Linked DNA regions of Ovis aries. The protein of the gene in region 1 purifies or fractionates together with the protein of each later gene. This does not show direct contact. Links are inferred from orthologs where the notes say so. Each region holds a gene or a part of one and is shown on either strand. Other genes may lie near its edges. The genes, in order: VBP1 and PFDN1.

The links.
Region 2: the proteins of VBP1 (region 1) and PFDN1 purify together in Homo sapiens (affinity purification with mass spectrometry; 4 studies listed by BioGRID and IntAct, counting the BioPlex papers as one, with this or other methods). This does not show direct contact. The link is inferred for Ovis aries from reciprocal best matches to the Homo sapiens genes VBP1 and PFDN1.

What each region holds. Positions count from the first base shown.
Region 1 is NC_056080.1:81,701,841-81,705,755, forward strand, and holds the start of VBP1 (prefoldin subunit 3), read left to right. Parts: upstream 1-1,155; 5' UTR 1,156-1,178; coding exon 1,179-1,271; intron 1,272-3,915. UniProt on the Homo sapiens protein: Binds specifically to cytosolic chaperonin (c-CPN) and transfers target proteins to it. Binds to nascent polypeptide chain and promotes folding in an environment in which there are many competing pathways for nonnative proteins.
Region 2 is NC_056058.1:49,170,744-49,174,658, forward strand, and holds the start of PFDN1 (prefoldin subunit 1), read right to left. Parts: upstream 2,355-3,915; 5' UTR 2,339-2,354; coding exon 2,306-2,338; intron 1-2,305. UniProt on the Homo sapiens protein: Binds specifically to cytosolic chaperonin (c-CPN) and transfers target proteins to it. Binds to nascent polypeptide chain and promotes folding in an environment in which there are many competing pathways for nonnative proteins.

The DNA.
Region 1 (3,915 bases):
ATTGCAGGCAGACTCCTTACGATCTGAACCAGCAGGAAAACCCAGGTAGTCTATATACATAATCTCATTTAATCTTTACGACAGCCTTGTTGGTACCCATTGCATTTTAATTTTTAAATAACTCAGGTAGTGTCTTCACCTGTGCTCCTTTCCTACCCTGTGCAGGCAAGATAGAGACGTCCGTGTTTCTTAGTTGTGGTTTGGTCACTAAGTCACGTCTGACTCTGTGACCCCATGGACTGTAGCCCACCAGGCTCCTCTGTCCATGGGATTTCCCAGGCAAGCATACTGGAGTGGGTTGTCCTTTCCTTCCCCAGGGGATCTTCCTGACCCAGGGATTGAACCTGTGTTTCCTGCATCTCCTGCATTGGCAGGTGGATTCTTTACCCACTGAGCCACCAGGGAAGCCCGAGGCAGGAACCAACATGGTGCTCCGATGTCAGAAAACAGGGGGGTAGTGGTGAATGAGCTTGGGGATTCCTTGGGTCTAGAAACATCGGGAAAGTTCTTAGGATTTTGTATTAATATGGACAGTGTGAAGTTTTGAAAACGTTTGAGCTGGTGGTGAGAGTCTGATCAGAGGTGCTTTCGGTAAATTGTGATGCAACGGGCGGGGTATTTATTAGAATCAGGCCACTAGGTCCCCTCGGAAGCAGGCTCAAAACAAGCACCCTTCAGGAGCCAAAAAGCTCGCGAGGATCGTGGGCCCAGAATGTCACCGAGGCCCAAGTCCCGTGGTGGCGTCTAGGTCTCGAGTCTGCTTGAATTCGAGAAGGGATCGGGTAGCTCCGATGGTTCTTCTGGAGAGGCCTGTTCCGGGCTGGCAGTGGAGTCTATTCCGGCTTCTTCCGGGATTGTCCGCATCCTCCAGCCCGCCGCCCCACCCACAAAACCCCCGGAATCCCTTTTCCCAGGACTCGGTATTGGTCCTTCCCGCAGAGCCAGCCTCGCCTCCGCGGCCCTTCCACTCCTGTCACTCACCCGCGCAGCCAATTAGAGCCCACAGATCGAGCGACTCTGCCGAGCGGGGGACGGGGCGGGGGGTATTTCCTGTAAGCCAACGAACGCACAGACTCCCAGGCGGGGGGGCGGGCCCGCGACTGTGACCCGAGCCAATCACAGGCCCCCGGCTACAGGCCGCTCGCGAGGCACGTTAGTCGCGCGCTCGCTTCTCCAAAATGGCGGCCTCTAAGGACGGTTGTGGTGTAGGAGAAGTGGCTGCGGGGAACGGGAGGCGACTCCACCTGGGGATTCCTGAAGCGGTTTTTGTGGTGAGTGGCCAGCGGGTGTTTGATGCTACGCTGTTGTACCCTTTCTTCCTGGCCCCTCACCGGGGACTTGGTTGTTGGGGAGAGAGGCGTTGGGCCCAATTACCTGGGAGGGGGCGCTCCGGCCTGGACGGACTAAACTGGGGCGGGACCTGCCTGGGAGGGGGCCTGCCGTCCGAGCAGGTCACAGGCGCTAAGCGGGCGCGGGGCCGGAGGACTTGGGGGCGGAGGCGGGCCGCTTTGAGGGACCGCCTTCCCCCGCCCTCCGTGGCCTGCGGTTCCGACCCCGCTTCCGAGAAGACGGGAGGCGGTGAGAAGCTGGACCCTCAGCCTGGATTCTGGGGAGACCGAGGGGGACGGGGTAACGGAGCTGGGGCTCAGGTGTGAAGCTCGGAAATGACATCTCGGGTGTAGAAGGGCTGCGGCGGCCTGTGGCTTCCGAAGAAGACCCCATGATGGGGGCGTCGGCCGGGAAAGCTCTCGAAGGCCATGTGAAACCCGCTAGGCCATGGAGGCCTTAGCCCGCTGGCTGCGGGCGCTCATTAGACAGTGAAATTGCAGAGTCGTGTCCAACTCTGTGACCCCATGGACTGTAGCCTACCAGGCTCCTCAGTCCATGGGATTTTCCAGGCAGGAATACTGGAGTGGGTTGCCATTTCCTTCTAGTGAAGCCACTTGTAATCACTTTGAGGTACACGGTTCTAACAACGTAGAGAGTCCATAGGGTGCAGTTCACAGAGGAAGCCGGCAGTGCAGTATTGGAGGGTTCATTGAACGGGGAGACTAAACCAAGGCCAAACAGAGAAGCACGTAGAGGCTTTCAATCCTGTCTCTCCATAAGGCTGTACTCGAAATAGTGTTTGAGAACTAGTTGAGTGTTGAGAAAACCTGATGGGTGTTCCAGGCCAGTATCACCCATCTTTCTCCACTCAGTTCTGGCTGAACTACTATGAAACCTTAATGGAAATTTCTCCACCTTTTGCTTTGTCCCGATATTGTCTTAATCTCTGCCTTTAAAAAGAATTTATTTATTTTAATTGGAGGCTAATTACTTTACAATATTGTACTGGTTTTTGCCATACATTGACATGAATCAGCCAGTGGTGTACATATGTTTCCCATCGTGAATCACCCTCCCACCTCCCTCCCCATCCCATCTCTCAGGGTCGTCCCAGTGCACCAGCCCTGAGCACCCTGTCTTATGCATCGAACCTGGATTGGCTTTTTGTTGATGAAATCGTCCACCGTTCAGAAGACCCTTGTCTTTTATTTAGACCACTTTTATATGCACTGTATGAATATTTGCATTGGCTGACTCAGTTTTGTCCTATTTTATTTTATTTTTGTCCTTGAAGTGTGCCATGTATTTCCTTCCACTCATCTCCCACTTAATCATCAACAAGAGACAAAATTTGTTGAGTACCAGGCACATTCTAATGCTTTTACACAACTCAGTAAGAGGCAAATACTGTTATTCTCATTTTGTACATGTTCAGACTGAGCCCCAGAGCCCTTGAGTAATTTGCCCCAAGTCACACAATGTGTGAGTGAGTTATCCAAGCTTTAAACTTGGTCAGTCTGTGGGCTCCAGACCTCTACTTCCATGCCATGCTCTGCTGCTGGGAGGAAAGTGAGGTCATTATCTTGCCCCCGATCCTAGCACAGTGCCTGACACACAGTATAAACTCATAACTAAATGTCAGATTGAATTTCCATAATGCCTTAAAATCCTGCATTCATGGTGCTTAACAAATGATGGCTTCAGAAATCTAATTCAGGAAGATGAAGTTTATCAAGGGGCTATATAAAGTGTTATCTTAAAATGCATTTTCTCTAAAATGTTATGAGTTGCTTTTTCTAGATCTTTAAAATTTCCATCAATACATTATATAAACAATCCACATTTATATAAATATTTTAATGTTCCCCAACTAATGGGAAATAGCATGGTATTTTAGAAAGAACATTGGTTTCGAGACTAGAGTTTGAATCCTGCCTCTGCTTCCCAGTTGCTGCTTATCTTGAGCATATTGTTTTACAACTTTGAGCCCCTCTGTTTCTTAACTGAAATAAGGATAACATTACTTACAGATTTCTTCTGAGAAACAGAGAATGTGCTTTCAGTATTGCAAGTAGATACTTAATACATATTCATTTCGGTAATAAGGCAATGTACCATAGTGGTTAGAAGTCAGATTGCCTTTTCCCCATTCCAGTTGGTACAGTAATTTTTTTCTTTCTCTGCTTTAATTGATCTTTTCCCCCCTTGTCCATTGTTTGGCTGCACCATCTCTCAACATCTAGTTCAGATATGATCTCTGTAGTTTTTTCTGACCACCACCCTGGGGTAGAATTCTTGGTGCTTCCATCTGTTCCCTTAGCCATATCTAATGTTTGTTGAACACTTACTAGCTTCTGTGTCCTCTTCTGAGTCTTTGACATGTGGTAACTCATTTAATCCCCTGTAGGGAAGAGGCACTTTTTTCTTTTACAGATGAGGAAATTGAGGCCAAGACAAGAATTAAACAACTGCCTCACGGTCCACACAGCTAGTACGTGATGCAGCCAGCATTCAAGCCATGCAGCTCCTGGGTCTTAACCACAGACTTTTGCTGCTGTAGTTCCTTCTCCTTGCTCGTGTCTAAGC
Region 2 (3,915 bases), on another chromosome or scaffold:
CTACATTTGTTGATTCAACCAACTACATATCATGTAGTACTCTAGTATTTACTATTTTAAAAATCTGTGTACAACTGGATCCCTGACGTTTAAACCAATGCTGTTCAAGAGTCAACTGTACTGAACTTACCCAGTCCTCAGAAGATGCAACCTATCTGAAGAAGCTGAACAAAGGCACGGTAAATAACAACCATATCAAGTAGCAGGTACCCAAGGATTAATAAAAGCTCTAAAGGCAACAATCACAAACCCAGAGACCCAAATCAGGAACCATTAATGTAACAACTCACCACATCTGTACTACTCAAGATTATTTAAAGCACTTTCCCACACTTGTTTGAAATATTAACATGTGAATATTAATATGAGAATACTGACATATAATAAATGTCTCATTTTCTCTTTTCAATAATCCTGAGTTAAGGATGGCAGATTCATCAGCACAGTTTACAAATTAACTAAATGTTTTAAAGAGATATAAATGACTTTCACAGGGCTGAGCAACTACTAGGTCAAAAACCAAGTACTTAATTAACTTCTGACCGCTAGTTACTGAATCTTTCTACTCTACTATCCACAGTAATATTCAGAAAATGAATATTTTAAGAGAAAGACACACAAAAAAATTCAAAGCATTGATAAAAGAATTGCATCATGATCTTCATATGCACACGATAAGCCAAACTTGACCTCTGAGTACTGTTAAAAGGTTTTTGATACTTCTGAAGTGCCTAGAATGATTTTCACATGCTGTCAAATTCTGACTTAATAATAACATCTGTGGCTGCAATACATGGCAAAAAGCTACTAACTTTTATTCTGACTTTGTTCTCACCTACTAGTAAGGTTTCAAAAGGTTTATCTAGAGGGGAGAGGAGGTACCTAAAGTTTCCTATTAGTCTCCATCCCTTCCCCTCCCCCCAAAATTATAAACATTAAAAGACCTTTAAACAAGTTTCTTCTGTAATTTTATTGGTTGACAAAACTACCCAATTTAAGTCTGTAATTATCTTCTTAGTTTGCATTCACTGTCCACAGGTTTCCCAGCAACAGACTGAAATAATACTGAGGGGTAAGTCCATTCATAGCTGTATTCTATTGTTAGCTCTCACTAAACCCTAACTTAAATTTGAACTTTTAACGGAAAAAAAAGGTAAACTTTTAAAACACTTTAAGACACAGTTTGGTAAGGAAGCTAGTATTTTGTTAAAGCTGAGATAATACAGCACTAGACAGCACCATAAGGAGTAAAGGTACAAGTTCCAAACAAAAGGCAATACACACACACAAATCCTCAGAGCAATAATACACTGCTTCATCTATTACGTGGAAGAGCTACTTCAACTGTCTTATTTCTCATGCAAAGATAGATTACAAGACAGTCTTAAACAAAATTTGCTCTTCTAACCTCAAGTAGTGGTCAAAAGGTGGAAAGTGAGGCAGAGAATGCAATATTCTAGAACCAAGCTTGGGCTGACTCTTCTGTTAAACTGTTTCCTTTTCTAGAAAAGTATCAGTTTAAAGTAGATGAAGTCTAGGCTCCTTTCCAATCCCCATTCTCCTTCTCTTCGCAAAAAAAAAAAAAAAAAAAAGGATACGCTTTTGAGTCGGTAGTGGTGTTAGAATCCTGACAACTCTCAGGTGGTGAAAACATTTCTGTGTAACAACACATTTCTAGGCAATTGTTTGAAGAGAGAAACTCAATTCCTTCTGATACCAATTTGATCTGGAAACCTTTGACTTGTTTCTTCTTTGACAAATCTTTAAAAACGAGGGTGGGGAGGGGGCGGTTGTTGGCAAAGCCCTAAGATGAACATTGCTACGAGGATACCTGACTGAACTGTATGAAGCGACCTTACAAGATATGGGATTAAAGAACTGACCTAAAAACAGACTGGACTTGGAGTTTTTCAAAGCAAATTAGTATACAGAATTACAGATGCTACAGCTCGGGCAAGCAGGCTAAGAGGCTCCAACTGGAAGCGCTCATTTCAGGCCTCACTATGGAACTGAAGGCACCAAGAGCAACGAAAGGTCTCTGGAGCTCGGAACAAGGGAACAAAACAGCTATAGGCCCGCCAAACTTAACCAGGCCCAGCCCAACCGGCTCTTACCCGGCAAAGAGCCGCTCGCCCTCGACTCCCGCCTAAGGAGGCCCGGTCCCGCCTTTGCACTCTGAGAAACCACTCCCCATTTCCCTGGGGCCTCTTTCCTTCCGCAGCACTCGAGACTCACTCGACATTATTGTCCACAGTCGCCTTAGCTTCCAAAGAAAAGCTTCTGCCTGCTCAAGACCCTCTTTTACCTTCTTCAACTCCAGATCCACGGGGGCCGCCATCTTGCTTCACTACTGCGCCTGCGCAGTGGGAGAAGCCCGGAAAGAGCGTGGGGGAAGGGCGCGCCCTGAAGATTTGATAGGGCCTCTTCCTTCTGCGCCTGCGCATGAGTGGGGCTGCTTGGTTTTCCTACCTTCCCCGTCGTTATTAACGCCTGAAATAACCGGGATTCCGATTCAGAGTACGTCTTCCCCACGTGACCTATGGGCCTGCCGTGATTCTCCACATCCTTCCAAACACGGCACAATCTGCAGATTTCGTGTGTGTGTTTTTTTAATATAAATTTATTTATTTTAATTGGAGACTAATTACAATATTGTATTGGTTTTGCCATACATCAACATGAATCCGCCACGGGTGTACACGTGTTCCCCATCCTGAACCCCCCTCCCGCCTCCGTCCCCTCGTGTGTGGTTTTAACCACTTCGACAAATAGTTTAGTTTGTGTCGCTAAATTAAGATGTATGTAGATCAAGCTAAAACCTTTAAAGTCATTCATGCCTTCAGCGAGTCCTGTGCTGTCAGGGAGGGATGAGAAAGAATCAGCCTGAGTTTCAGACATGGCAGCATGGAGAAGACCAGAAGGCTTCAGTTCAGTTCAGTCGCTCAGCCGTGTCCAGAAGGCTTAGTTGAAGCGTTTTCCCAAAGAACTTATTTATACTGAATGTTCTCAGAAGACCTTGTAGACACAGGAGTTCTCACGAGAAACCAAATTTCTTTTTAAAAGAAAAAAAAAATGCAGATTCTCTGATCCTCATCCCAAACTTACTTAGAATCTTTGATATGGGGCACAGAAATACATACTTTTGCAAACTCCTTTTATGATCTGATCTAAGTGGACTGCAAACCACATTTTGAAAATCTGCTGTAAAATAGCTGGCATTTGAACCAGAAGGATGACTAGAAGGATGGACATGAAAGAAATGGATATCTTCCTTACTCTAAAAACCTGTGAGGCAGGGGAAAGGGCAGGGAGTTTGGAACTAAACAAATCTGTATTCAAGGTTTGGTCTACACTGAGCGTAGGTATGTCTGCTTCCATTTACTAGTTGTGTATCAACAGAGTCTGTCTCCTCATTTAATATGAGAATAACAGTACTGACCTAACAGAGTTATTCTGAGGAGTAAACAAGATCAGGATGGAAAGCTCCAAGCATAGCACAATGCACACAGTAGGCACACAATAAAAAGGTATAATTAAGTTCATGTAGTTAGCATTGTTATATTTGTCTTTCAAGATACAGCAAGCAGCAGACACATAATATGTATCCATTATGTATTTTTTTTATTTTTTACATCACACAGACCATAAATAATCTCTCCTTGGAATTTCAAGACTACTTCTGTTCCTTTTTCAAGACACATGACACTATCTGTCTTAAAAATTTTTTTTTATTAGACTTATTAGCTGTTCAAATGTCCATCATTCGACAAATGGATAAACAAAATGTGAGGACATTATGCTAAGTGAAATAAACCAGTCACAAAAAGACAAATACTGTATGATTCCATTGTACAAGGAACTTGGTGGTGGTGGTGGTGGTTTAGTCACTAGATTGTGTCTGACTCTTGTAACCCC